2 linked regions of the Lonchura striata genome follow. The protein of the gene in region 1 binds, or shares a complex with, the protein of each later gene. Links are inferred from orthologs where the notes say so. Each region holds a gene or a part of one and is shown in the gene's direction. Other genes may lie near its edges.

The links.
Region 2: CDK2AP1 (region 1) and MTA3 share a complex: the UniProt entries of both Homo sapiens proteins name them as parts of the nucleosome remodeling and deacetylase (NuRD) repressor complex. The link is inferred for Lonchura striata from reciprocal best matches to the Homo sapiens genes CDK2AP1 and MTA3.

The regions. Positions count from the first base shown.
Region 1 is NC_134620.1:13,006,527-13,019,072, reverse strand, and holds the start of CDK2AP1 (cyclin-dependent kinase 2-associated protein 1), read left to right. Parts: upstream 1-6,488; 5' UTR 6,489-6,586; coding exon 6,587-6,794; intron 6,795-9,072; exon of another isoform or gene 9,073-9,115; coding exon of another isoform or gene 9,116-9,194; intron 9,195-12,546. UniProt on the Homo sapiens protein: Inhibitor of cyclin-dependent kinase CDK2. Also acts as a component of the histone deacetylase NuRD complex which participates in the remodeling of chromatin.
Region 2 is NC_134605.1:14,007,824-14,020,173, forward strand, and holds the start of MTA3 (metastasis-associated protein MTA3), read left to right. Parts: upstream 1-7,456; 5' UTR 7,457-7,553; coding exon 7,554-7,581; intron 7,582-9,663; coding exon 9,664-9,731; intron 9,732-11,563; coding exon 11,564-11,657; intron 11,658-12,350. UniProt on the Homo sapiens protein: Acts as a component of the histone deacetylase NuRD complex which participates in the remodeling of chromatin.

The DNA.
Region 1 (12,546 bases):
CTCTGCACCCATATTCCCACGGAGCTGGGCACAGAGGCTTCACACCACGGACACCAGCTTGGCAAGAGATGTCAGGGCTCTCCCTTCTGCTCTGAGCAGTGTCCTGGGGCAGGAGCTCAGCAGACGTGTTAGACTCATCCTGGCAAAAGCTGTGTCTGGGCTGTGGGCTGGTGAGGGAAGGAAGTGCTGTGCCCAGCAGCGCCAGCCGAGGGCTGTGTGACACCGGCAGAGACACTCGGACTGTGCTCTCCTGTCACCGTGATTTACCTCCTGCTTTTCCTCCTTCCCCCTTCACCCTGCTCTTCTCTCCCCCGCCAACTCTGAGTTGTTGTGAAGCTCCACATTCCTTTCCTCACAGTCATTTCCATTTTCCAGCCCTGGGCTTTGCTTTCACTCTCTCCTCCACTTCCTTTGCTCAAATGACCAGTAACAAAGCAATTAGGGATGCTCCCGTCAGGCTGCACAGTTGGTGCTACGAGGAGGCTCCGAGGGACAGAGGTGTTTGTGCTTCTGATTGTTTCAGACATTTGACACTGGTCAGGTGATGCTTGCTTTGCACTCAGGAGGTTTTCTGTGGGGCTTAACCCCAGTGTGTCTCTTCAAACTGTGATTTGAACCTGCAGCTCTCCCAGGTGCCACGTGGATGATTATTTCACATGGACAGGGGTGTGTGACACCAGCCTGCCTCCAGGAAGCACTCCAGGCGAGCCAACACTCAGCTTTGCTGCTGTGGATTCCGGCGCTGCCAGACGCAGAGCAGGTTCAGGAGCTTTCCCAGACAGGGCTGGGATGAAAGCAAGTCTCAGAACCTCCTCTGCCCCAGCCAAAGGGTGGGGTATTCCCTGCCCCGGGCCCACAGCAGCGCGGGGAGGGAGGCAGAGGAGGGCCGTGCCGCAGCCCGGCAGTGCCAGCTCACTCCTTGGCACAGCCTTCAAGGGCTCAGGAGTGGGAGGGAAGCAGGAGTCCAGCCCACAGGGCAAGAAGGGAGAGTCCTTCCAGGCAAACTGAAGGAATCGGGCAGGGTGGAGCACTCATTTGTCTGGAAAGATGATGCAGAGAAGCTCTCTAATGTGGGCATAAAGTGATATTCCATCCCTGCGAGCAACAGCAAGAAAGGAGGAGCCCCTTGGCCCAAGCCCCACCATCAGCCCAGCTGCCTGTGCCCTGTGCCCAGCAGGGCAGGGAGAGTCCTCTCCTCTCCTCTCTCCTCTCCTCTCCTCTCCTCTCCTCTCCTCTCCTCTCCTCTCCTCTCCTCTCCTCTCCTCTCCTCTCCTCTCCTCTCCTCTCCTCTCCTCTCCTCTCCTCTCCTCTCCTCTCCTCTCCTCTCCTCTCCTCTCCTCTCCTCTCCTCTCCTCTCCTCTCCTCTCCTCTCCTCTCCTCTCCTCTCCTCTCCTCTCCTCTCCTCTCCTCTCCTCTCCTCTCCTCTCCTCTCCTCTCCTCTCCTCTCCTCTCCTCTCCTCTCCTCTCCTCTCCTCTCCTCTCCTCTCCTCTCCTCTCCTCTCCTCTCCTCTCCTCTCCTCTCCTCTCCTCTCCTCTCCTCTCCTCTCCTCTCCTCTCCTCTCCTCTCCTCTCCTCTCCTCTCCTCTCCTCTCCTCTCCTCTCCTCTCCTCTCCTCTCCTCTCCTCTCCTCTCCCCGAGGGGGCTTTGTAATTTTTTTTGCCAGTACTTACCAAGCAAAACGAAGCGGTTTCATTTCTACTCTAATACTTCTTTGCTGGTTTTCATTGGAATCTGGGCTGGTTTTGATATTGGTGCCTGGTGCTTGTTTGCCTGGCAAACTGCAAAGAGGAAAACTTTCATTAGAGAGATTCCAGGCCTGTGCTTTTGTGGCTGCGGGCTTGGAAACTTCTCATTCCTCCTCCGTGGTCCTCCAGGGAGACCTCCAGCCAGAGCAGGAGCGAGCAGGCTCTCTACTCACGCTGTCTCAGAGGTAAACCCAGAGCACCACCAAGGCCTCTTTATCTTAAACATTCCCAGCCCCTTTGACAGCTTTGCAGGTGCTATTTGCCTTTTCTCTGCTGGGATGCCACACCTCGGAGGCCGAGCGTCCCCCTCGGAGATGGAACGGGCCTGGAGTGGGCTGCTCAGCCCATAGGGCAGCACCCGTGCGGCGATGCGGAGCAGCTGTCTGCCTGGCAGGGCTGCTCCGCTTGGCAGCCAGACAAAGGACTCAGGAGCAGGAGGAAAACAAGGCTGGGAGGGAAAGTCGCTCCAGATAATACGGCATCTGGCCCTGGGAGGAACCATCTCCAAGTGGGGAGCAGGGCTAGACTGGGAAGAAGTTTGTCAGGGAGGATTTAAGGGGGAAAGCCTGGCTGGAATAGGAATCCACCTGAAATTGGGTTTCCACCTGAAATTGTTGCAAGGATTTCCTGGGGCCTGGCTCTGGACACGGTACCACAGCCCTCCTTGTAGACAGTCTCAGAGGGCTCTTTCCCCTGGAGGGGAGCAATCCAGAGCTTCCAGGGGGATTTTGAGGTGTAAGAAGGCAACAGGGTGGAGCTGGGAACATGTATTTTTATTCAGGATTAGATTGGTTTTGTGCATTTTGGTGAGGATGGGGCAGCAGGCAGCAAATATCAGCCAGAAAAGGCAGATCACAGAGGAGGGACTCCGAGGGCTGACAGCTTTCTCTTGGGAACAAAAAAAGCACGAGGGAAACTTAGTAGCATCAGCAGGAAGCAGTTGTGGGGAACAGAGACAGGAATGGAAGGAGCTGTAGCAAAGCGATAAGAAAGGAACAGCACTGATGCCAAAAAAAGCATAAAATGCACAATTTTCCTTCTGTGCCAGGGTCCCAGACTGCCCCAGGGGCTTGCTGGGTGTCCTGGGGAAGGAAGGGTTCTGCACCAGGAGCTGCTGGCTCATTACAATCCCAGTGAGAAAGGTACTCAGCTCTGCAAAGCATCTTTGAAAATGCTGTTTGTTAAAGCTGACACTCACATGCCTCTATCACGCTTTCCACAGAGGTTAAACCTTGCCTTCACTCAAGACTTAAAAAGCTTAATTTTCAGTCTAGGCCTACCAGAGGCTTTTCATTTTGTGTAGCACCTGATCGGTTTGGAGACTCAAAGATTAAACTGGTGCTCATCAACTTGAAGCTGCATCTGTGGTTATTTTATGTACGAGGCTGGATCACCAGAAATGTGAGGATAAGCATTTGAATATAAACTCCCTCTAGGAAAAGGAACAAACTTCCCACTTCTTTCCCCTTGGTGCTACATGGGGCTCTGTGGTGGGTAAAGGACAGTTAGAATATCCCCAAGTCACTCAATTAATTAAGCCTGATAACAATTAATTACATTAAAATTAATGCGCAAATTTAATGTTTTACACATGTCAAAGACATGCCAGGAAAAAAAGAGGGTCTTACTGTGCCATCTTTAATTCTTTTCATTGTTGGTTTAACCCAAGGTGATAAGGAACAAGCCTAGTTTGTGCTCCTCATTTGCAGGTCCCCATGAGTGTTACAGCACGGCTCTGTGATGACTATTTCGTTTTGTTTCCAGATAAAAGGGGACAAACAAGTTTGTTTCACAGCATGGCCCACGGCCCTGTGGCAGAGCTGCCAGCACCTTCCAACATCCCACTTTGCATGTGTATTCCTTACACCCTCGCCCAGGGCCATGGCACCGACCCACAGAGCTTTGGAAAGGGAAAACCTCCTTCAAATCAGTCACAGCGCTGCCTAAGCAGGGGCTGGAGGCAAACTCTGTGGAAATATTGGCTGCTCAGTATTCCCAGTGGTTTGGGAGGAGCAGAGGTGAGGAAGTCAAACCAGGAGAGGGAAAAGAGAAAATAAAATACCAAGAGAAGAAAGGGGAGGGGAACAGAGTGAATGTTGCAGATATTGCACAACTCAGAAGAGGCAGCTGTACCTGGAAAATACATCATCAGTGCTTCTTGTAGTGGCTGAAGAGACAGGCACACATTCCTGTCCATCCTCTCTTGTGGGAAAACAGCAGTTCACACGTTTATTTTTAAGTTGCATTTTAGCGTGCAGCAGGCTTGCAAATGTCACCTGTGTGATAAAATGGCTCTGCTGTGTTTCCTGCTCTGTGACTTGGCCACTTGGTGATGAAGAGCTGCTTTTGCTGTCAGCGAACACCACCGAGCCATCAGGCTGCAGAGCAGGGACCTGCAGCTTGCTGCACACAGCCTGGGAGCTGGAGCTGCCACACTCGAGGCACAGTTTGCATGTGCAGAGCACAACTCCAGCGGTGCAGCCCAGCTTGGGCCATCAAACAAGGTGAAACCGCCCCTCCAAGGGAGCTCGACTCTGTGGTCACCCTGCTGAGCAGCCAGCCCAGGGCCCGAGCACGACAGTGGTTTTGTTCTTGTGGCCACACCTGGTTCAGAACAACTGCAGTGAGCCCTCAGAGCACACGGCAGATGGGAAGAACTTGCAGGTACTTCCTACCCTGCAGTGAGTGCCAAAAAAATAGAGTAAATTAATCTTAAATAGAGTCTGAGGCCGAGCAGTAAGTTTGTCCTTTATCAGGGTCTTGTGTCTTGTGCCACCACTGCTACCTGTGCCCAGAAAACTGCAGAGCAAACATCAGATACCCAGATCTGACACTGCTGGGCTCCTGCTTACAGGACAAATGATGCTGCCCTGCATGCCTGAGCATCTCAGCAAGCCTGGCCCTCACACCTTGCTCCAAAGATCACAGTGCCTTGTGCTGAAGGAAGAATAATCTTTACAGGACTTTTTCCACATCACCCTGCCTCCCCCTTGGAATATTGTAAATTTTGGAGCTGTCTTTATAAAACGCAAGCAAAACACAGGGGATCTTGTTCTTCACAGTGTTGCTCTGAGCACAGTTTTGTAGAGTTGGTGTAAAGCCGTGAAAAACACGGCAAGCTCGGAGTGTTCCCATTTCTCACTCACTTGGTGTGACTGTAAACAACCACATGATGGAAAATCCCGGAGCGGTGTGCAGGACTTTGCTGGCCTTCCAGGATTCAACAGAAAGGCTGTTATTTACAAATCTGGAAGTGAAGCTTTAGGTTTGCAGAGTTCTCACTCACACGGTGAGGGTTTACCAGTGCAGTCTTTCAGGGCTCTAAGAAGAATTACACAGTTGTAATCACAAGCACCAATGTGAAACTACTGTCACTGAGCGTGTAATTCTGTGCCTGGGGCTCTCAGGACCCCTCTCTAATAGACCAGAGCATGGATCAGTTGTAAGGACAGTCAGTGCCAGTCTGGAATTCGCCAGGATCGCTGGAGTCAAGCATTTGGTCTGGAAATAAAATACAAAGGTATTTCATCTGGTACCAGTCAGAATTTTCAGATGTTTCTCTCATGCAGTGCACAGTCAGCAGGGCATGAGCCAGGGGCTCAAAGGCTGCTCCTCTTTTCCCATTCTCCCTCGATTCTCCTTTATGCAGAGGAAATAATCTGATTGCTCTGTGACTGTTTCCGTGTCTCTGTGACGGAGGTGTTACCTGCTTCCCTCTGCAGGGCCGTCCACTCTGGGCCTGAGTCAGTGTCACTGACGAGGAATGTGCCCCTGATTTCCAAAAGGCATGATCAGGCTCTCCGTGTCTGCTGTCACTGGCATTTAGAGCAGTATGAAGCCATGGATAGACATTAAGTAGCACATGAGGCAGCGCATGCAATAAAACTATCAGATCTCAGAGTGGCTGCTGGTAAAATATACATGGGGGTCTGATATGGGGGGGTCTCAGGCTGAGCTGTGCACCTAAGGAGAGAGAATGTCCAGATCCCAAGTAGTTTTGTTTGGATAAACCTGGAGTAACTGAACAATTTTCGAGTGTATTTGATATTAATTGACTGAAGGAGCAAACCTGAATATCTTGCAGTGAAAAGGATGAGTTCTGATGGCAGACGCATGCTGGAAAGCTTCGTCATTTAACCTGATTCTTTTAAAAATTTTGGTGGGGAAGTTTTACTGCTGCTAGCAAGCAGAAAATGTGCCGATTGTCAACGAGATCCATGTTCTTTTAGTCCCTCAGAAGCTGCAATCCACATTAACCTTCCACCTTCAAGCAGAAAGAACTAGTGGTTTGGAAAAAAAAAAAAAAAAAAAGAAATAATAAAAAGGGCAGGTTTTTTCTCGGCGGCATCTAGGGGGGTGGGTGAGAGAGAGAGAAAAAAAATTATTTAAAAATTATCAACAGGTATTTTCGAGGTTGGCGGGGGGATGAGCGCGGGGTGAACGCCCGCCCTGAGGTGAGGGGGAGGCGGGAAGGCGGCGGCGCGCGGGCCGCCCTGAGGGACGCCCGGGGCTGACAGCGGCCGCCGCCCGCCGCGGGCACAGCGCGGCCAAACCCGCAACTTGTGCCAAAACTTTCCGAAGTTAATTAAAACATCCCCCCCCCGCCGCCCCGCGCCGCCGCCGGGCTCCGCGCCGCCGCCGCCGCCCGCCCCGCTCCCTGCCGGCGGTCCCTGAGGGGAGCTCCATTGTCTGTGAGGGGATGGCCGCGCACCCCCGCCGCGCCCCCGCCCGCCGCGCCCCCGCCCTCCGCGCCGCCGTGCGCGGGGCGCCGGGCGGCCGCGGCGGGTGGCTGCCGGCTCTCCCCCAAAGTTTTTGGATCCGCGTCTCCTCATGATGTATGGATGATATATTGCATTGTGGGTGTCAATATAACTGACGGCCATATTTGCCGGTGCTGCTACTGCTGTAAACAACCCAAAGTGTCTGGGAGACACGGAGACGCTTCGCTGAATTTCAGGACGCTTCTCCTCCTCCCGCTGGCCATGTCTCTGGGAATGTCTTACAAGCCCAACTTGAACGCCCACATCCCCGGGACTCCCCTCAACCCGGGTAAGTGCGCGGCGGCAACTGGGTGGCAAGTTTGGGAGGCGAGCGGCGGGTGCCGCACCGGCACCTGGGGGAAGCCCCGGACTCGAGTTTGTGCCCAGTCCGGTATGGCGGGGCAGCGGCTCCGCGCCGCCATTACCGCGCCCGCCCGCCCGCCGGCCGGCGCCGCCAGCCCCGCTCCGCGCCGCCCCCGCGCCGGGCTCCGCGCCCGCCCGGCCCCGCGCAGCGCCGCCGCCGCTCCGGGGCTCCGGCCGCCGGGTTTCCTCCATGCTCGGCTCCCCGGGGCGGCTGATTGATCTGGATCAGGAATATTCCGGCGGCGCCTCAGCGAGGACCGCTGCTGGCGGGACGCCGCAAGTGCGGCCGCTCGCCCCGCGCCTCGCCTCGCGCCTCCTCCGGCGGCGGGGCCGCCCCGGGCCGCGCTCCGCGGGCCGCGGGGAGCCGCGGAGCCCCGACCTCCGCCGGCGCCTCGGGGCGACCCTCGGTCAGCGCTGCCCCGTCGGAGCCTCCCCCGCATCCCGAGCGGAAGAGCCCTCTCCGCTCGCTGGAGACTTTTGGGGATGGGGGGGCACACAGGGATTGCACTATTTCTTAAAAAACTCCTGTTTAAAAATCGCTCCTCATCCTTGGATTTGTACAGGAGTCCTGCCAACTTTCCTCTTTAAAAAGTTTCCTTGACAGCGTTAACTTTTTGCCTTTTTTCTTTTTTCTTCCTTTTTAAACTACGTTGCCCCGTTTTTCTCCTCCCGATTTCCGAAGGCATCAGCCGGCGGGTTTTTGCCGGTGCTGTGGTGCTGCTGTGCATCGGGTCTCCGTGTGCGAATCGGTGCAGCCTGAACAAAGCCGCAGCAGCAATTGCTTCGCTGTGGGATATTTGGAGGGGATCTCGCTAATCTGTGCTCGTCGGCTCCGATTAAACCGCACCAAAATGGAGAAGTTGGTTCTGACTTTAAAAATTCGTATTCGTCTCCCATGCCCGCAGCCCAGCCTGCAGGACTGGCATCAATCAGACAGCCACAAATCAGACTGATTTTTTTTTTTTTTTTTTTCCCTGAGAAAAAGTTTTGGAGTTAGGTTTAGGAGGGAGGGAAATGTGTCTGTGTGATTTTTACGGCACCGTTAGCGGTTGTGATCCTGGGAAGCTGAGGAGCGAAAGGGATCTCCGGGATGCATCTCTGTTCTAGCTACCAGGAGAGCAGCAATCGTATTTTACTGCAAGGACTCGTCACCAGCTGGTGGATGAGCCGATGTGGCTGTGCCACCTCGATCCTGCATGGAGCTGAGCTCGGTGGGGCTGCGAGGGTGCAAAGCTCGGGGAGCCGGGGTCGTGTGTGGGGAGCACCGTGGGGCTCGAGTGCTGCTCTGCGGAAGGGTCAGGGAGCAGGGGATGTGCCGAGGATTTCTGACAAAAAGCAGAAGTGTCACCGGAGGGGGGAAAAAAAATTAAAAAAAAGAAACAAAGCAAAGCCCAGCAAGGGAAACCGTTCTCCTGCCGGCTCCCACGAGAACCTGTGCCTTGCTCTCCGGAACAGCCGTAAAATTGCAGGGAAAACAAAGGTGGTATTTTGCGATGGTGGGTGAGGGGTGGGGATTAGGTCATGCAGTGGAGGGGATCCGAGTCTGGCTGCTCTGCGAGCAGGGACTGCAGAATCCCGGCTCAGACATGCCGCGCACAATGCGAGCCGAGCGGTGAAGTTTCTGTCTCCAGCCCTCTCGCTGCCGTGTCTGCGCTTTCCACCGCTCCGGCTTTGGATTCTTTCATGCAGTTTTATCTTCCCCTTCTCTCCCACCCTCCTTTTCCCCTTGTATCGGCAAGTTAGCAGCAGTTTGCTGTCATGCTGGAACTATTCTTGTCTAAGTTGTCCTCTCTTCTGAGTTCGGATCATCCTCAACACCCCCAGAATCTTTTCAATGAAAGAACGTCCTCCTCTGAATCCAAAATGGGCTCTCTCTTCCCTCCCTGTCTTCTGCCATTATCCTCACGCACCAGCTCTTCCTCTAGCTAGTGGTATTGCCAGCACCGTGGCCTAAGGCCAAGGGACTTAGACAAAGCAGTCCTTGCAGTTGCACATATCGCATTCAGAGTGATATGACTGCAAATGGCCCCCTCCTTTCTGGAGCTTAATTCTGATTTGGAGGAGATTGCCTCTCTATTGTGCCTAAATTAAATGCCCCCCAGCCAGGAGGATAAATCCTAGGTTTGCTTCCAAAATTGGGGTGGAGGACCCCCATCCCCTACCTCCCCCCCACAGCCCTGCAGAGGAGAGGAAAACAGGAAATCTGTCCCTTTTGGCCTGAAATCAGCCCTGCAGAAACCTCTCTATATGAATGCTGAATTTTTTGGGCTTGGCCGACGGAGGGCTCTGGGCAGCTGTGGATCTCACAGGGATTTTCCTCTGGGAGGTAATGCTGCTTCCCTGCAGTGCAGGGCTTCTGGTGGAGTATTTGGGAAGGCAGTGTCGACTCAGCTCTTGGAGCCGTGTCCTTGCTGCAGAGCAAACTCCTCTCAAGTTGAGGCTGAGAGTAGCCACTCTGCAAAATGATACTTAAACTGCACATCAGTGAGATGAAGCAGTTGTGGTTGGTGGGTGCCTGGGCTCTGTTCTTGCATGGGAGCATGTTTTGGGAATCCAATCCTGGACTGAAGTCCAGAGGGAGAGGAGCTGGATGTGGGGGAGGAAATACAGGGAGGAAACCTCCGTGGGTTGTCGGCAGATCTGGGGATGACTGTGGGTGAGGAAAATGCAGCTGCTCCACAAGTGACTCAGGATGCTGGAAGCATCTGGGTGCTGACTCCTCTGCCTTACACCAGGCTGAGGGAAGGAGAATGTGTTGTCACAGCAGAATTCAGTGCCTGTTCCTCTTCCCCGTTGCCCAGGTCAGTGCTGACACTTGGCCCAGGGTGGCTGCAATCGGGTTTGCAGTGTTTTGTCCAAATTTTGTCCGAAGTCACCTTCCTGGAGTGTCTGTGCTCAGGGAATTGGGTTCCTGCATGTAGTACCCCAAGCTTTCAATTCCAAGCTGCCTGTGCATGAGGAGCCCCATTTAATCTCCTGCACAAGCACCTTCACTGCCTGGGCTGTAAATGAGCTTTATTAGAGACCTGCAGTGGCTCTACCTTCCCAGCCTCACCTGACCCTGCAGGGTCCCAGGGGAACCTCTGTTACCTTTTCTAACAACCATGTTTTGATTTGTTTGTCTTCTTTTGCTTATCCTACTGATTCCTGGGAAGTGCTGTTTCCTCCTCATCTGTCTTGTGTTTCATCTTGTTTGACTATGTAAGGGACCAGCTGCTGAGCTGAGGTGAAGTAGAGCATCTCCATTGACTTAAGCTGAACTTGACACTTACACCAGCTGTGAATGGGTCTGTAGTTTGTTTTTCACCATATTTCCATGTGTTTTTTGGCTCAGTGGATATTCACCAGCATTCCTATTTTGTTTAGACTAAGCACAGGTCAGAGAAAATGCGTGTCAAGATACAGAAGCTAGCAGAAATAGCTTGGGATTTTCCTTTACTTTCATTCTCATTCTTGCAGAAATGTCACATTTTGAGACAAAGTCTTGTTCATGTAACAAAGCTTAAAAACTGTTGTCTGTAGGGTCTGGAAACACCAATTCCAGCTGACAGTGACAAGGGAAGGAGCTGTGTCTTGGCTCCATGTGAACAAGTGGCGGCCTGTACAAGTGCTGCTGTAGCTGAGGACCAAAGGGGCTCTCAGTGCACCTGCCACACCTCGCAGCAACCACAAGTTTCTTGTGAAAAGTGCAAATTCTCACTGGGAGGTGAAATGAAAACCATTTCCCTGTCTGGGGCCGTAGCTGGCAGCTGGAGAGACCAGTTCCACTGAGCCCTGAGAAACGATACCAGCACACGAGGCTGGCCCTTATGTTCTCAGCACTGCAGTGCAGACTTGCTCGAGCACATGGCTTGCTTGTCGCCCTTTACAGAGACAGCTTCTGTTTGATATTGTTGACCATATTGAGAGGTTGTTTTTGGAGTGGGAGTACTGAAAAGAATACTCTTTGTAGGCAGAACAGAGAGCAAAGTGTTTGTGCCTTAGCAGGGGGGATAATTTCTAGGAAATATGCTCCCCTCTCCAATTCAGACTGAAATTTGTGTGATCCCTGATCTCTCGAAGTCCATGTGACGTTAAGTATGATGCAAAGAGAAGCTCTCTAAACATGTTTCAGAATTAGTAATTTTCAAGTGGACTTGTTTGGGCATTCAGAAAACGGGCATTTTTGGCTTTGCCTTCCTGAGTGTTTTGCTTGAGAGCAGTTTTCACAGCGTGGTTTTCACAGTCAGCCAATCTTCATGGTCCCCACCCAGCACCTTGGTTTTGCTGCAGAGTGGTTTGGGTTCATTCTAACTGGATTCCTGTTGGATAAAAGTAGCCCAAAAGCTCTTCTCCAGTTGTGCAACACAGATGCTCCATCCCTTGCAATGGGAACAAGGGATCCAAACCAAAGATGGCACAGCTCTGAACCATACCCCCCTAGCCTGGGGAACCAGACTAAAATCTAACCTTAAGTCATACTCCCTCAGGCCAACTACATGTGGTGTACACATACCAAATGCTTTAATCTCTTGATCTGTTCCTTGTGGTGCCAAATAACTTGCTGGTGTAGGAATAGCTTAAGCAAGAAAAGAAGAATGGTGGGGAGTCAAGGGACTGGCTTTAGTTTTTCTGATACAGAAAGAGACAGGAGGGCAGGAAGAGGAGACATAAACCATGACCGTTATCCACATGGAAAGATTAAATAGCACAAGAGTACTAGAGGAAAGGCCCAGAGTGTGACAGATCAAAAGAGCAAGGCCTCTGGCTGTTATGATAAAGAATGTCCTAGTTCTTGAGAACATATTTATGTGTCTGCGCACTGCGTTTTTTAAAAGGAAATAGTTTTATTCAAAGAAAGGTCTGTTCCTTCCACAAGGGCTGTTCAAGGGAGAAATAGTGGGTGAAAATACGATTTTCACAGCCAGTGCTATAAGGAATGGTTTGTGGAAATGAGAACAGGGTCCATTCTTTTAAATTTAAAAAATTATGGGAAGGTTGGAGGGAGTGGGGGCTCTGTCTGAGCTCTGGGTTGGCAACTGCTGTTAGAATTCAGTGTGTGGCTTGGCTGTGCCATGGATCTACTTGTGCAGACATGCATGTGGTGTCCCATGGGTGGGAAGGAGTTCTTATTGAACTCAAACCAAAGTGTGTAGAGGGCTAAGGAATAAAATATTCTTGTAGTCAGCCAAAACACTACAGCTGTGTTCAGCTACTTGCTGCAGAAATAGCTGTGCTGGGTGAAGCTGTTACCTCTCCCCTGATGCTCGAGGATGCCTCATGGTTGGCAAAACAGCTTCAGGAGCGTTTCTCATGTGTTTTCTTGCAAAGTTGCCTTGTTTAGGACAGAAGAATTTATATCCTTTCAGTACCAGCCTCGTTGTCTGGTACCCCATATGGTCAGGACTCTGTGAGGAGGTCCTGCAGGCTGTGGCAGAGGCAGTAACCTCCAACAACAGAGGTGGTGACCACGAGCCACTGAAATGCCAACAGCCTTGATGTTTCAAGCAGCCTCAGCTTGAAGGGTCTGTGAAACAGAGGGAGAACTGCTGAGATTCCACAGACAGCACCACGTACCTTGGATAAAGTCCAGGCTACAGGTACCTCCTCTTACATGCTCTCGTGTTCATGTGTGGAAAGAGTCTGTAAAATGTGGCTTTATAGGACCTTACAAAATACAGGGCAGAAGAGAAACACAC
Region 2 (12,350 bases), on another chromosome or scaffold:
GAGTTTTGTCCCAAAGCAGAACTTGCAGGATGGACCCTGAAATATTTTCAGAGTTGTATGGCAGAACTACTGGATGAAATAATCTAATTTTTTTAAAAAGGTCATACTCTAGAAGATGCTTCTTTAGTCACACTCATCTTGAAGAGCAGGAATTTGTGTTTTCCTCTAACAGTTCTCCCCATTGCTGATTTCTTATATCAGAGTGGTTGCTTGGATAGGTTTGAGGAAGACAGAGGAATGAAAACATTAACTTTTGGCTCTTTGTTAGTCTCAGCTGTGTGTTTTACCCTTGCATCCCAAAGGAATTTCATAAGGAAAAGAGAGCTGATGCACCCTGCTTTTTGTTCATATTGAAATATGAATGATACAACAAACTTGCTTGCAAGGATGTACAATATTCTTTTGTGTTCTAGAAAATATTTTAGAATATTAAAACTCAGGTACTTTCAGACTGTTAATCTTGGGTATCCAGATTTTACAGGTTTTCATTCCTAGCTGTAACTGCAAAAGGGCTTAGTGTCAGAGGTTATAAAACAGTGAAAGTCTCATCTGATAAATCGGTGTAAGGACTGTAGAGTCAAAAATCTTCAGTCTGCCAGAGAGAAGGTAAAACTTGTCAGACTGGGCATGCAAATGACAGAACTTCAGATAGTAGAATTGGCATTAGCCTTTCTGACAAAAAAATATATTTCAATTGCAATGGTGGGGGGATTTCTACTGAATGTGGATATTTCAGAAGCAGAGATAATACGTTCAGATTTGATTTTGAGTTTGTTTTTTTTGGTTTTGGGGTTTGTTTGTTTGTTTGTGCCTGTTTGGCACAAGCAATCAAATTTGGCTGCAATAGCCATTATTAAAGAACTTACTTGCAGTACCTATCAGTTAGGGTTATTGCTATTGGAAGTATGTAAAATCTCCTCCTTTTGTATTGGGGGAATACTCAGAGTATTCTGAGTGCACAAGTGTGTACTCAGCCCATTGTGTACTGTGAGCAAGGGGGGTCTCAAGCTGTTTGTTTCTTCTTGCCAAGCAAAACATAGCTGATTTAAAACAAACAAAATAATTCCAAATGACAATAAAAACCATGCCAGTTTTGCAACTAGGTATCCTCTAGTTCTTGCAGGATTTCTTGTGTTAGCACCTATTGCCTGGTATACTAAGTCTATCCATCTAGACGTATGTTCCTTGTTCTTTCCACTCATCCTGAGAAGGTACTTCATAGCTTGAGACAGGTATTTGAGACAATTGATTGTTTCTGTCAAAGAGAGACAATCAAAAAGTCTTTTAGGTAAAAGACTTAAATACAGCACCAATACTTTGTGAAATACCAGCAGCATTGCTGTGTTGCTGAATGCTGCTGCTCTTTGTCACCACTCCCCAGAGTGGTTTTTGGAAGTAAATCATCTAGTCAGACACCTGCTCATCACATAGGTTCATCACAAGCTGACCTCCTCTGTCACACCACCTGTTGTAAGAAATAAAGGTCACTGGCACACAAAGTTAAATTCACTGTGTGTAAGCAGGCATGATGCCCTTGATTTAAGAGGAAGGAAGGTGTGTGCATTACAGCACTGATAAATGTGTCCCTAAGAGTCATCCAGCCTGAATTCAGAAGTGAAGTTCCTCCTACCAACAGAACAATGAGTGATGGTTTTCTCACTGCGCTGAGCTGGAGACCTGCATAAGGATGACACCATTGAGGCAGGACAGTGTGAAATCACTACAGAAGGCGAGAGAATAGAACTCTGATGTATTTAAAATATATCTCTTTTATAAAGAGTATCGTCTAGACCCACTCTATTGGTCCTAGAGTAGATCCATTGGTGTGCAGTGAATGACTCACAGTGGCAGAACTTATCTATAAACAAAGTGAACAACAAAAGAGATAAAGAATTATTTATATTCTTTCCCAACTGTTTCCCAGGCTTCTGCCTGGTTAGAAACCTTCATATCTCTCTGACTGAACTGAGAATGTCTGCATAAGGAAATTGTTCTGGTTTTCAAAGCTAGAGGTAGAACTGATAACTGGAAATTTCAGGTCAAATGCATCTGTAATGGATACACCAGGCAGTCTTTAGAGACACAGGAAGGCACTGAGGGTACATTTCAATAAGTTGCACTTCGGTGTTGCTTGCCTGAGATCATTCAAGCTCCAGAAAAACTGAACTGAACAGATGTGGAGTCCTTGACTTAAATTAATTCTGCTCAGATGAATGTACTGCACTGTACTTAAATAGGTGTCATTAAGCACCTTTCACAGCTTTTTAGCAGGTGTTAAGCACAAAAAATAGATCAGTTGAAAGAAAGGGAGAGATAAAGAGTAAATTTGCTGTAGAGTGTTTAGTATCTATCCAAAGCCCAAAATGGCTTCACTTTAGAGTGCTGCAGATGTGTGCAGTGTGCTTCCAACTGCTCTCATTTGCAGTCTTGCTTTTGTCAAAGAGAAAAAAGCTATGTAATGGTATTGCTTTAGCTCCACTGGAGTCAACCACAAAATTTGCATGGACTTGAACAAAAACTAGACATAAACCTAAGGGTCGTCTAAAACTGGCAAACAGAATGGGGTAAAAAACTGAATCCTAGAGTTGCAGGCTTTTTCTCCATTAAGATGGGGACTGGAAAGTAAATTGTTAGGTCTAACAAAAGCTCTAGATTGGTAAATCTTTTTTTTTTTTTTTTTTTTTCTAATCCGATTAGAAATAGAAGATATTTACTTTGTTATTGATTTTATTATTAAAAAATGGAGAGTTATGCCTCTGGAGTGGAAGAAATACATCTAGCCTTTAATAGAAGATTAATGATAACCCCTACTTTACCATCCCTTCCTCAAAGCTAAAGCAATTTTTCCATTGCAAGGGACTGGTTTTCATTAAAGCAAATTCAGTAAAAACAAGAAGACAGGTACATATGGGTCTGGATCTGACTTATTTTGCACCAAAAAAAAAAAAAAACCCCAAAAAAAAAAAAAAAGACTAAACCTTGATTTAATTGTATGATTTATGGGAAATGAAATTATGTGTAGTGTCAAAGAAATGCCATTTGGTAGGCTATTGCACCAATCTATACACTATGATACTTATTGAAAAACAATTACCTGAGACCTGTTTTTAACTCCCCTCTCAATAAATAACTTGTTGCTCACCATAAGCACCATTTTTATCTGCACATTGATTTAGCAGAATTCTTACGACTTTAGGATTTGGATTCAACATCTAAATCTGCAGAGTACTAGTAATTCAGCAATTAGCTTTAAGCTATTGTTTAAATCATATTTAATGAAAATAGTGACAAATTTAACTAAGAGTCTCTTAAGAGATCTGACTCAGACTCAATAAAAAAGCCAACATTATTTCTGACACCAAGAGCAGATGATTTTTTTCTTGTGAGAGATTTGGGGTGTTATATAGAAGTTGGTGTGAAAGCATCTCTTACAGATTGCACCTAGTTTCTGCTTTGTAGAGGCAGCTAAAAGTTTCTATTGCTTGTGATAACAAACACTGAATTTTGTATTTCTGTAAACAAAAAAACCCACAACCCCACCTTATATAATGATTGTTACAAAATGGTAGTTATATAAGGGTTTTTTATATAAATATAATAATGAGTATTGATATGGAAAAAATACTTTTGTTTTGTGACTAATTAAGTAACAGCAATATAAATTCTGTCTCTGCTACAAATTCATTAATGAGGTTTCGCAAGCTATGGTGTGTATTTGTGTTGATAAAAAAAAAAAGCACCTGTATACTGTTAGTTGCCTGTAAGTCAGTCTGATCAATGTGTGACTGTGTTAGCTGGCTTGTTTGTTCACATGAGAGCAAAGTGACTTTGTACAGGCTACATTTTATTTTTGAGCTACAGCACAAGTCCATAAACTACCCAAGTCCTCAGTGGTGGTGATTTACTCTCAGTGTAGCAGTTTAAGATGATAAGAAATTGTTATTGGTGAAGTCCCTTGTAATTTGTTTAACTCTTTGCATGGATTATGTGTATGCAGACAGTTCATTTGTTGTAAAGTTTTACTAGCAAGGGAGCTGCTTTTCCTTGGTGTAAACTCATATACTTGAACAGCTGAATGTTGCCCCTGCTTCAAAATTCCATGTGCAAATAAAACAAACCAACAAACCCTCTAGGATCCCATAGGTATGGGCCAAGGATGGGAAATGCCTTTTCCTTTATATTGCATGAACACAAGGGTGAGCATCTGTGAAAGGTCTACAGGAAGATGAACATTTTTTATAAAGGTTCAAGTAACTCCTTCTTCAGTGTTTTTATCAATTTCACTAAGATGTTCCTACCTGTAAGATCCTGAAGTATATCAATCTGAAATACACACCTCTATCAATATATTTTACTTTATTCCTCTTGACTTTCAGTATAATCATTATCAATCAAGTAATTGACAAAGATTTGTCTTCAGTTCTGGTATCTTTTGTGAGGAAGCTTATAGGTTGGACGTGTTTTGATGGCGAGGTTGGCGTTGTTTAGATTCAGGCTTTTTGTAATTAAGGAACTTCTGAAATTGGGAAACTTTGAAATTAAATTCTATGGACACAAAATAGGATGCTGCATGACAGCTGCAATGGAAGTTCTCTTATTCTATGACTTCACAAAATGATAAAATTGTCAGAACTTTTTAAAACTTTCGTCTTCACTCTGCAATAATGGAAAATGAGAAAATTCAATTTGAAAAATGAAAATTCAGGAATAAAATTGTCTGATAGTAGATTCCCATTACCTTTGTCTATATAATTCCACATGCAAGAAAGAAGCCTGAAATTGCCTATAAATAAAAGGTGAAACTTTTTGTACTATCTCTAATGGAAAAAAATTATTTCATAGTAGTGTTCTTTTAAATACATTAAGAAAATTGTATAGCTCCAGTTGACCTTATAGGCATGTAATAGACATGATTTAGGTGCATCTGATGAAGCTAAAGAGAAAAAGCCAAAAAAGAGGGTGCAGCCTGGATAAATCAATAGACACTCTGTGGGAGATACTGTGAAAGGTCCTTGGTCATCTCTTCTCTCAGTGTCTGATGTCCATCTCTTTCAGGACTGCTGATCTTGCTCACCATGGGGGCAGCTGGCCAGCCTGGACCATGGAACTAGTCTGTGTTTTAAAATGATCCTTTTAACACTCCATTCTTTCTTTTTTGGCTTTTCTTTGGAGGACCGTGAAGAGGAATGATGGACTGCTCACGGTGGCACAACAAAGAAAATTGTAAAATGAAGCTCTCAGGTAACCCATGTCTCTATCAGGAATAATCTCTCTTGTGTCTTGAATTAGGTTGCCACAGAAATGTGGTTTCTTTTGAACAGCACAAGTGATATCAGTCTATAGCTAAACATAGTTCATATACCAGGTTAAGACAAAGCTCTTATCTGTTTTTGGGGTTTTTTTCTTAACAGTTTTGTAGTTGAAACAAAAGTTTTCCATTCTATTTAATCTAGAAGAATGAAGGTGTTTACATAACTTTAATTTTTCCCATTCTGTACACTGAGAGAGCACTGAATATAAACTGTATCCAGGCTTTTGTGTATGTTACACCAAAGTAAAATGTACTGCCAGTCCTGCAACTCTGTATCCACTAGCTGGCTGTGCCCACTCCCAAAGCAGTGACCTTGAGCTATGGATGTACTGAGCACCTCGGGCTGTGCTGCTGCTGTGCGAGCCGTGTTACTGCGAACAAGAGGGCCCAGTGATTCAGTACTGAGGTATATAAATGTCATTATTTCTCTATTTATCTGGTCTGCGATGCAGCCTCAGTCTGGCAGCTGTAAGTAAGGGTGGTTTTCTAACTATTTTCAGGCTGTCCACCTGAAAGGACAGGCTGGGACCATGGGCTTCCCTGGGCTGCTCTCTCACCTTCTGTATCTCCAGGAGTTGCTTTTCTCTTCCACAGGCCATGCCTTCAGCTGATGGAAGCAATGGTCTGTGTCTGTCCAAATCTACTCCTTGCTGGATGAGGGGACATCGTAAACTTCCTAGTGAGGGCAGTCCCCCTAATGTCCAAGTGCAGACTTAAAATGAGGAAAAGAGCTTGGAGGCATTCTGTTTAATTGGAAATGTCTGTGCCAAACCAAATGTTCGAATTAACTTCTCTTGCCTAAAAAGTTTAACCTCTTTCATTTGCCCAAGCAGTAAAACAGGAGAGTAAAAGTAACACCTCAGGTCTCTGCTAAGGTCATGTTATTGTGCCTTTGGAAATACCCAGCTGGACAGAGTTGGTACTTCCCAAGGAGCTTCTGCTGACTTGTTTTCAGTTCCCACAGATGTTCAACAGAGGAAAATTCCCCATTTTTCCTTTCACTGCTTGAATGTGCTGCTGTTTTTAAAAGAAAAATAAATTACTGTATCATGTGCCTGTTACATGTGTTTCAGAAAGTTGCTTCTCAGTTGGCGTTTTGATACAAAGTTGTAGTCACTTGAGAAATTAAAAGTGTCCTGGAAGTAGACAAAACTTTATAGTCCCAGATTTGCTTAGAGGAGAAAAGAAAGACAGGATATAATCGTTTGAAACACCAAGGATGATCACCCTCCTTCTAATCAACGCATCTTCCTGCAGCTCAGGATGAAGTGAAATTTTAACTTGGTAACGCTCAAGCTGCACACATAAATATCCAGGACATAAAACCAATAATAAATCATCCCCTTCGTTGCAGGAAGATAATAACAAGCATTTATTTTCCAAGAAAGCATGCCACAGCAGGATCAATTTGTTTGTAAAGTGTATGGATTGTTGCTTATGGTGTAAACTTTGTATAAACAGGGGGAAATGGCTTCATGTTACATCAGTATTGATGTTTTTTAAGCATCTCTCTCATCGGATGATTTGTAAGCATCTCTTTCGACGCTTCCTGCCTCCGAGATGAGCTGCTAGATTTATCTTTATTCTGTCGTAGATGTTTTCTGCTGCCTGTTGCGAGCAAGCTGCATCCTGCGGACGGCGGAGAGCTCCGAGAGGCACCGTGCCCGCGGCGGGCTGGGGGCGCCGGAGCCGCCCGCGGGACCGCGCTACGGAGGCGAACAAAGGGGCCGCCAAACCCATCACCAACAGGTGCTGCGCAAGAAACAAACTTTTCCTGAGATACTACTCAGAGCTGCCAAAGGAGAGAGATCCCTCAGCCGCTCCGGGGAAGAGGCAAACACCAAAAAACCCCCAAGTTCCGAAAGGGTCGGAACAAAGCGGCGGGAGCCCGCAGAACGTGGCGTGCCTCGGGCAGGGCGGGGAGCGTGTCCGCGCACCCGCACCTCCCCCGGCGCCGCCCGGCCGGACCGCCCCACCCCACCTGCGGCCGGGCCCGGCCCGGACCCGCCCCGGGGCCGGTGCGCGGGGGGAGCGGCGGGGCGCCGGTTTAACCCCTTCCCCGCCGGCGGCTCCGGAAGCGGCGGCGGCCCCGTGGGGCGCTGTGTCCTGCGGCCGGGCGGCGAGGGGTGGCGGCGCGGCGCGGGGGGGGCGGCGGCGGGAGCCGCTCCCTCCTTGCCCAGCCCGGCCCGGCAGAGGCGGCAGGAGGAGGAGGAGGAGGAGGAGGGCGGCGCAGAGCGCAGACATGGCGGCCAACATGTACCGAGTGGGAGGTATGTGGGGACGCGGCAGCGCCCGCCCGGAGCCCCCCGCGCCCGCCCGGGGGTCCCGCCGGGCCGCGGGCCGTGCGCGCCGCGCCGGGGCGAAGAGCGGCGCCCCGGCCCCCGGCGGGCGCGGTCCCGAGCGGGGCGGCCGGGCCCGGGCGGGCGGCGAGAGGAGGCAGCCGGTCCGGCGAAGGGTCGCCGGGCCCTCCGCGGGGCGGAGGACGCAGGTTCCTCCCCCGCCAGCCCCGCGCGCCGGGTGGGAGCCCGGCCCCCGCCGCCGAGGAGGAGAAGGGCAGCGCCGCCCTCCGCGGGAAAGCGGGGAGCGGCGCCGCCGGCTGCCAGCCCCGCGCCGCGCCTCGGGCCGGGCACGGCCGCCCTTTGCGCCTCGCCTCCTCCCCGCAGAGCGGCGGAGGGGCCGAGCGCCGGGCCCCGCGGGGCGAGCAGGGGCCGCCCGCCCGGCCGTGCGCCCCCGGGCCGCGCCCGCCCCGCCGCGGCCTGGCGGGCCCTGGCGGCGCGGGGCGGTGCGGGGCGGCGCGGGGCGCTGCGCACGGACAGCCCGAGCCCACCCCGGGGCCGCTTCCCTCCGCGCCGCTTCCCTGCCCCCGCGCCCTCCCTCGCTCTCACGGCGGAGTTTCTCCGCGCCTTCCTTGGTCTGCTGGGGATAAATAATTAATCTGGCTGCGTAACCGGGGGATTTCTGTCAGCTTCCCTTGCTCGCCGCCGTGACCCCTGAGCAGCGCCCTGATTCGTGACTGCTTGGCGGTGGGGAGAGGGCGTTTAGGCGGTGAAAAACACGGCAAACGTTTGTCTTCCCACCCCGAGCCTGTCGAAAATGACACGGATAACTTTGGCTCGCTCACGGAGGGAACGAACGTGGCAGTGTGCCCAGTGCTGTGGCTCAGGTGCACTGCTCAAGTTAGGTATGTAGTACTGGGTGCTCAAAAATCGCTCCATCCTCTTGCTCTCTCAAAATCCAGAACCGAGAGGAAAGATGTGTGGAAATGAGAGGTGACAATAGTTTGAATGCTTTGAGATACACTGATGGAGCCACAAATCTTCCATCTGAATGCTGTCTCATTAGAGCACTTAGATTTACTCATGAAAGTAATCCTTCTCTGAGCAGGTAGCACAGAGGGTTTACCTCATGGGTCACCAATTATTATTTTTTTTTTTCGTTGTAGTCATAATAAACAATTGTGAGCACTATCCAGAGATCTTATTCTTTCATTAGAACTACCTGAAGTTCTTTTTCATTGTACCGTAGTGTCAAACTGTTGCAGAAGGCTTTTATACATTGTTATAGTTCCTCATCCGATTTTTAGAAACAAAGTGTGCAAGGGGCATGGTACAGAAGTCCAACATCAACTTTAAAGTGTGGTTGACATTTGGTGGGTAGTTCTTCATTGGACAAAAACAAGTTTTCAGAAAACTATGAAGGAAACACACTTGTCAATTCTTTGTATGTTACATGGGAGCAGCTTTCAGGATATGAGTAAATTTCCATTCACTTTATTAAGATATTTTTATATTAATGATGTTGAAAGAGACTTCCTACAAGATCCTTGCTAATTTCATGACAATTCCTGCTTAATATAGTTTGCATTTTAGTGGACAGAGATTACAAGAGCAAGTATCATAAAACATACATTACTCATTGGGACAACTGTACTGCCACAACACCTGATAATAAATGTGACGTGTCGTCTCTTACAGAAATGTAAATCTCGGTAATATGGAAAGTCACTAAAGTGCTCAGTTCTTAAATCTTCCCTAATTGATTGTGAGAAGTTGCTCCTTCCCTATCAAGATTAATGAGGTGTATGGATTACTAGATTACGGTGTAAATTTCAACACAAAGCCTTTAACTTTTTCCCAGCATGGTTGTTAAAGCAGGTGTAGTGCAGTTAAAACCAGAATTGAGGAACAAATTATATTAAATCTCAGTGTAGAAATACATCACGGTCCCAACATTTATGAAGAAATCTCAGCCCTTTCAAAACTTCTTGTTTTAGAAGAAAACTTTTGCACTAATAGTGATATGTCTTTACATAATTTTTGGTATTTCAGTGACTTTCCCTTTTTTCCTTTCAGATTATGTTTATTTTGAAAATTCTTCCAGCAATCCATATCTCATTAGGAGAATTGAAGAACTTAACAAGGTACAAATATCTAAGATTCTTTCTTAGCCTTTGGCAAAAGTCAGGGTTCTTGTTAAAACCTGAGAATTATTTCTATCCCATAAGATTTCTACTGTAGGAGGGATTTATGAGGGTTACTGAAAACTTGCTATGTGATATCCTCTTACTCGACCCTGTTACCTAAGGAAGCACCCAGTTGTTCATCCCTGGTGAACAGGATTACTCTGCTGCAAAAATTTTCTAACGAATTCTATGAATTCTTGGAGAAATGAATAAATTTCATTCTCTGGCTGACGATGACACTGTGAATCCATCTGGAATCTGACACTGTGAAGCCATCATGTAACGAGTCTGCTTTTAGATAGACATCTGAAGAGCTGGCAGGTACCAGCGAGACTTTGATCGAGTAACACAATGTGTGACTTCTGTGGCTTTATTGCTCTGCCTATTGGCAGCTGTGAATGAAGAATGGGCTTTTGAATAAAGTACAAACTGTGTCCTCTGTCTTTATCATGAGTGTATTTTCCTGAAAAATGGAGGCTCTGTTGACAGTCATTTTGGGGAAAGCATGATTATTTTTCTTCACTCTGACACTACTAAGAATAGTGTGGTGTTTCTATGGGTTTTAAAATTATTTTTAATATTTTTGTATTTTTTTTTTACTTTTCCCTCAAGCAGTATTAAAACTTACTGATGCACTACATCAAAAGTTAATTGTTAAAATGCTCATCATGATGTAAGTAATGATTAAGATATTTCTCCCCAGTGGTTAGAAAGTAAATTAAAAAATTGGTGACTTGCAAGTGGTTTTCTTCTTATTAATGAAACATAACAATATGCCATAGCAGACATCAACCACATTAGCTGTTAGTGCTGTCCAATGCAACATCCACTGAACTTGTGCATGGCAAATAATTTTTGACTTTTATTGGAGAAGAAAATTTTTTTATTCACAGTAATTGACATGATTCCAATCATATATTGAATGTAATGTTTATTATCTTTAAACTGCATTGCTATAATTTAATCTTGCTTATGCAGGGTAGAAGAGAGTCATGTATTCATTTTTTTTCCTTAAAGGGAGGCTGGAGGTTGTAGTCCACACATCTTGAATGTGAATGGTTTGCTTTCATATGTTAAAGGTATTGAGCAAATGTGAAGATATTATGTAAATATGTAATAAAATGCTTTGATTATTGTTCTAATAGGGACAATATTTTTTTTGTAAGAAGCTTAATCAAAACATTATACTTTTTAGTATTAAGTAAGTAACTCAAGGTAAAAAACTACTTTTGTACCCTTAAAGGAGAAGGATAAAGTTCTTCAAATATTAGTAAATTCTTTATAGAAGATTGTGGTCCTCATAATGAGTAATTAAAACAGTGAACTAAACTGCTCTTTTATTTTAGGAGCTGTTGTGACTTTCTCAAATAAATCTTTCAAAAGACTTTTTCAATAAATGTTATATTAAATGAGATTCTGAAAAAATGCCCGAGTACTTTGAAATATACATTTCTGTCCAAAGCAGGATTGTAAAGAAATGTTCACAAGATTCTAACATTTCTGAAGGATTCTTACTTTAGAATGCATTGCACCTCTGAAGACCTGAACAAAATATAAATTCTGAGGACTCAATAATTGTAGTTAATCCTCTTGTCTGCTCTGAAATTGGTACTGGCCTCTCTCAAGAAGATTTTATATTTGAGTATATTGAAGTAGTTCTGTTGATTTCAGCTTGACTAATCATGTGAGAAATACTGATATGAGGGAACACTCCAAGCAGAGAGTGTTTAATTTGTATTTCTCAGCTGAGGAGGGATACATCCTGACTTGATTTTCTCTTTCTTTTGTAGACTGCCAATGGGAACGTGGAAGCGAAAGTGGTGTGTTTTTACAGGCGAAGAGATATTTCTAACAGCCTTATAATGCTTGCAGATAAGCATGCTAGTAAGTAGATGGTGTAGGGCATTTTTCCTTACTAACACAGCCTGCTCAATTTCTGCAACTGCTTAAAATTGTGGGGTTTTCTGGCATGTGAAATATATATTTATGTTAGGCATTTATTAATATCTAGTTAGTTGCTTAGTATTATCTGATTCTCTCCTGCTCCTATTAGTTGCTTCTGAGAATTGAGTTACCTGTATCCATATGATTGAGACTGTGCATCTGGAAAAAAAAAAAGAATGTATCTTTTCATCTGGAAGATACAGATGCATTTTTTTTTTTAAGTCAAAAGTAAAAGTAATTATTGGTTGCAAGTCAATTTAAGCTTAAGAGCACTTGTAATTATTTGATGTGACTTTTTTGAATTAGACATAAACATGTATTCCTTAATGTAAAGAATGAAATGCATCATTGGGCAGATGTAAAAGAGATTGTAAAAGAGCTGTTATGTGCATTTACACTAAATGTAGATATTAGTCAAAAAATAGGGGGTTAGGGTTTTTATATTTATTTTTTTTTCCAGAAAAACAACAAGTGGTAATAGGTGAAAAAAGCCCCACTTTTCAACATGAACATAAACTTTTTTTGTATCTGCCATCTGGTATGCAAGTGAAATATCATAATGATAACATTTTGATGAAAAATAAAATTCTGAAGAGAAAAAATGCAATTCTGAAAATATAATTCAGAACTTAA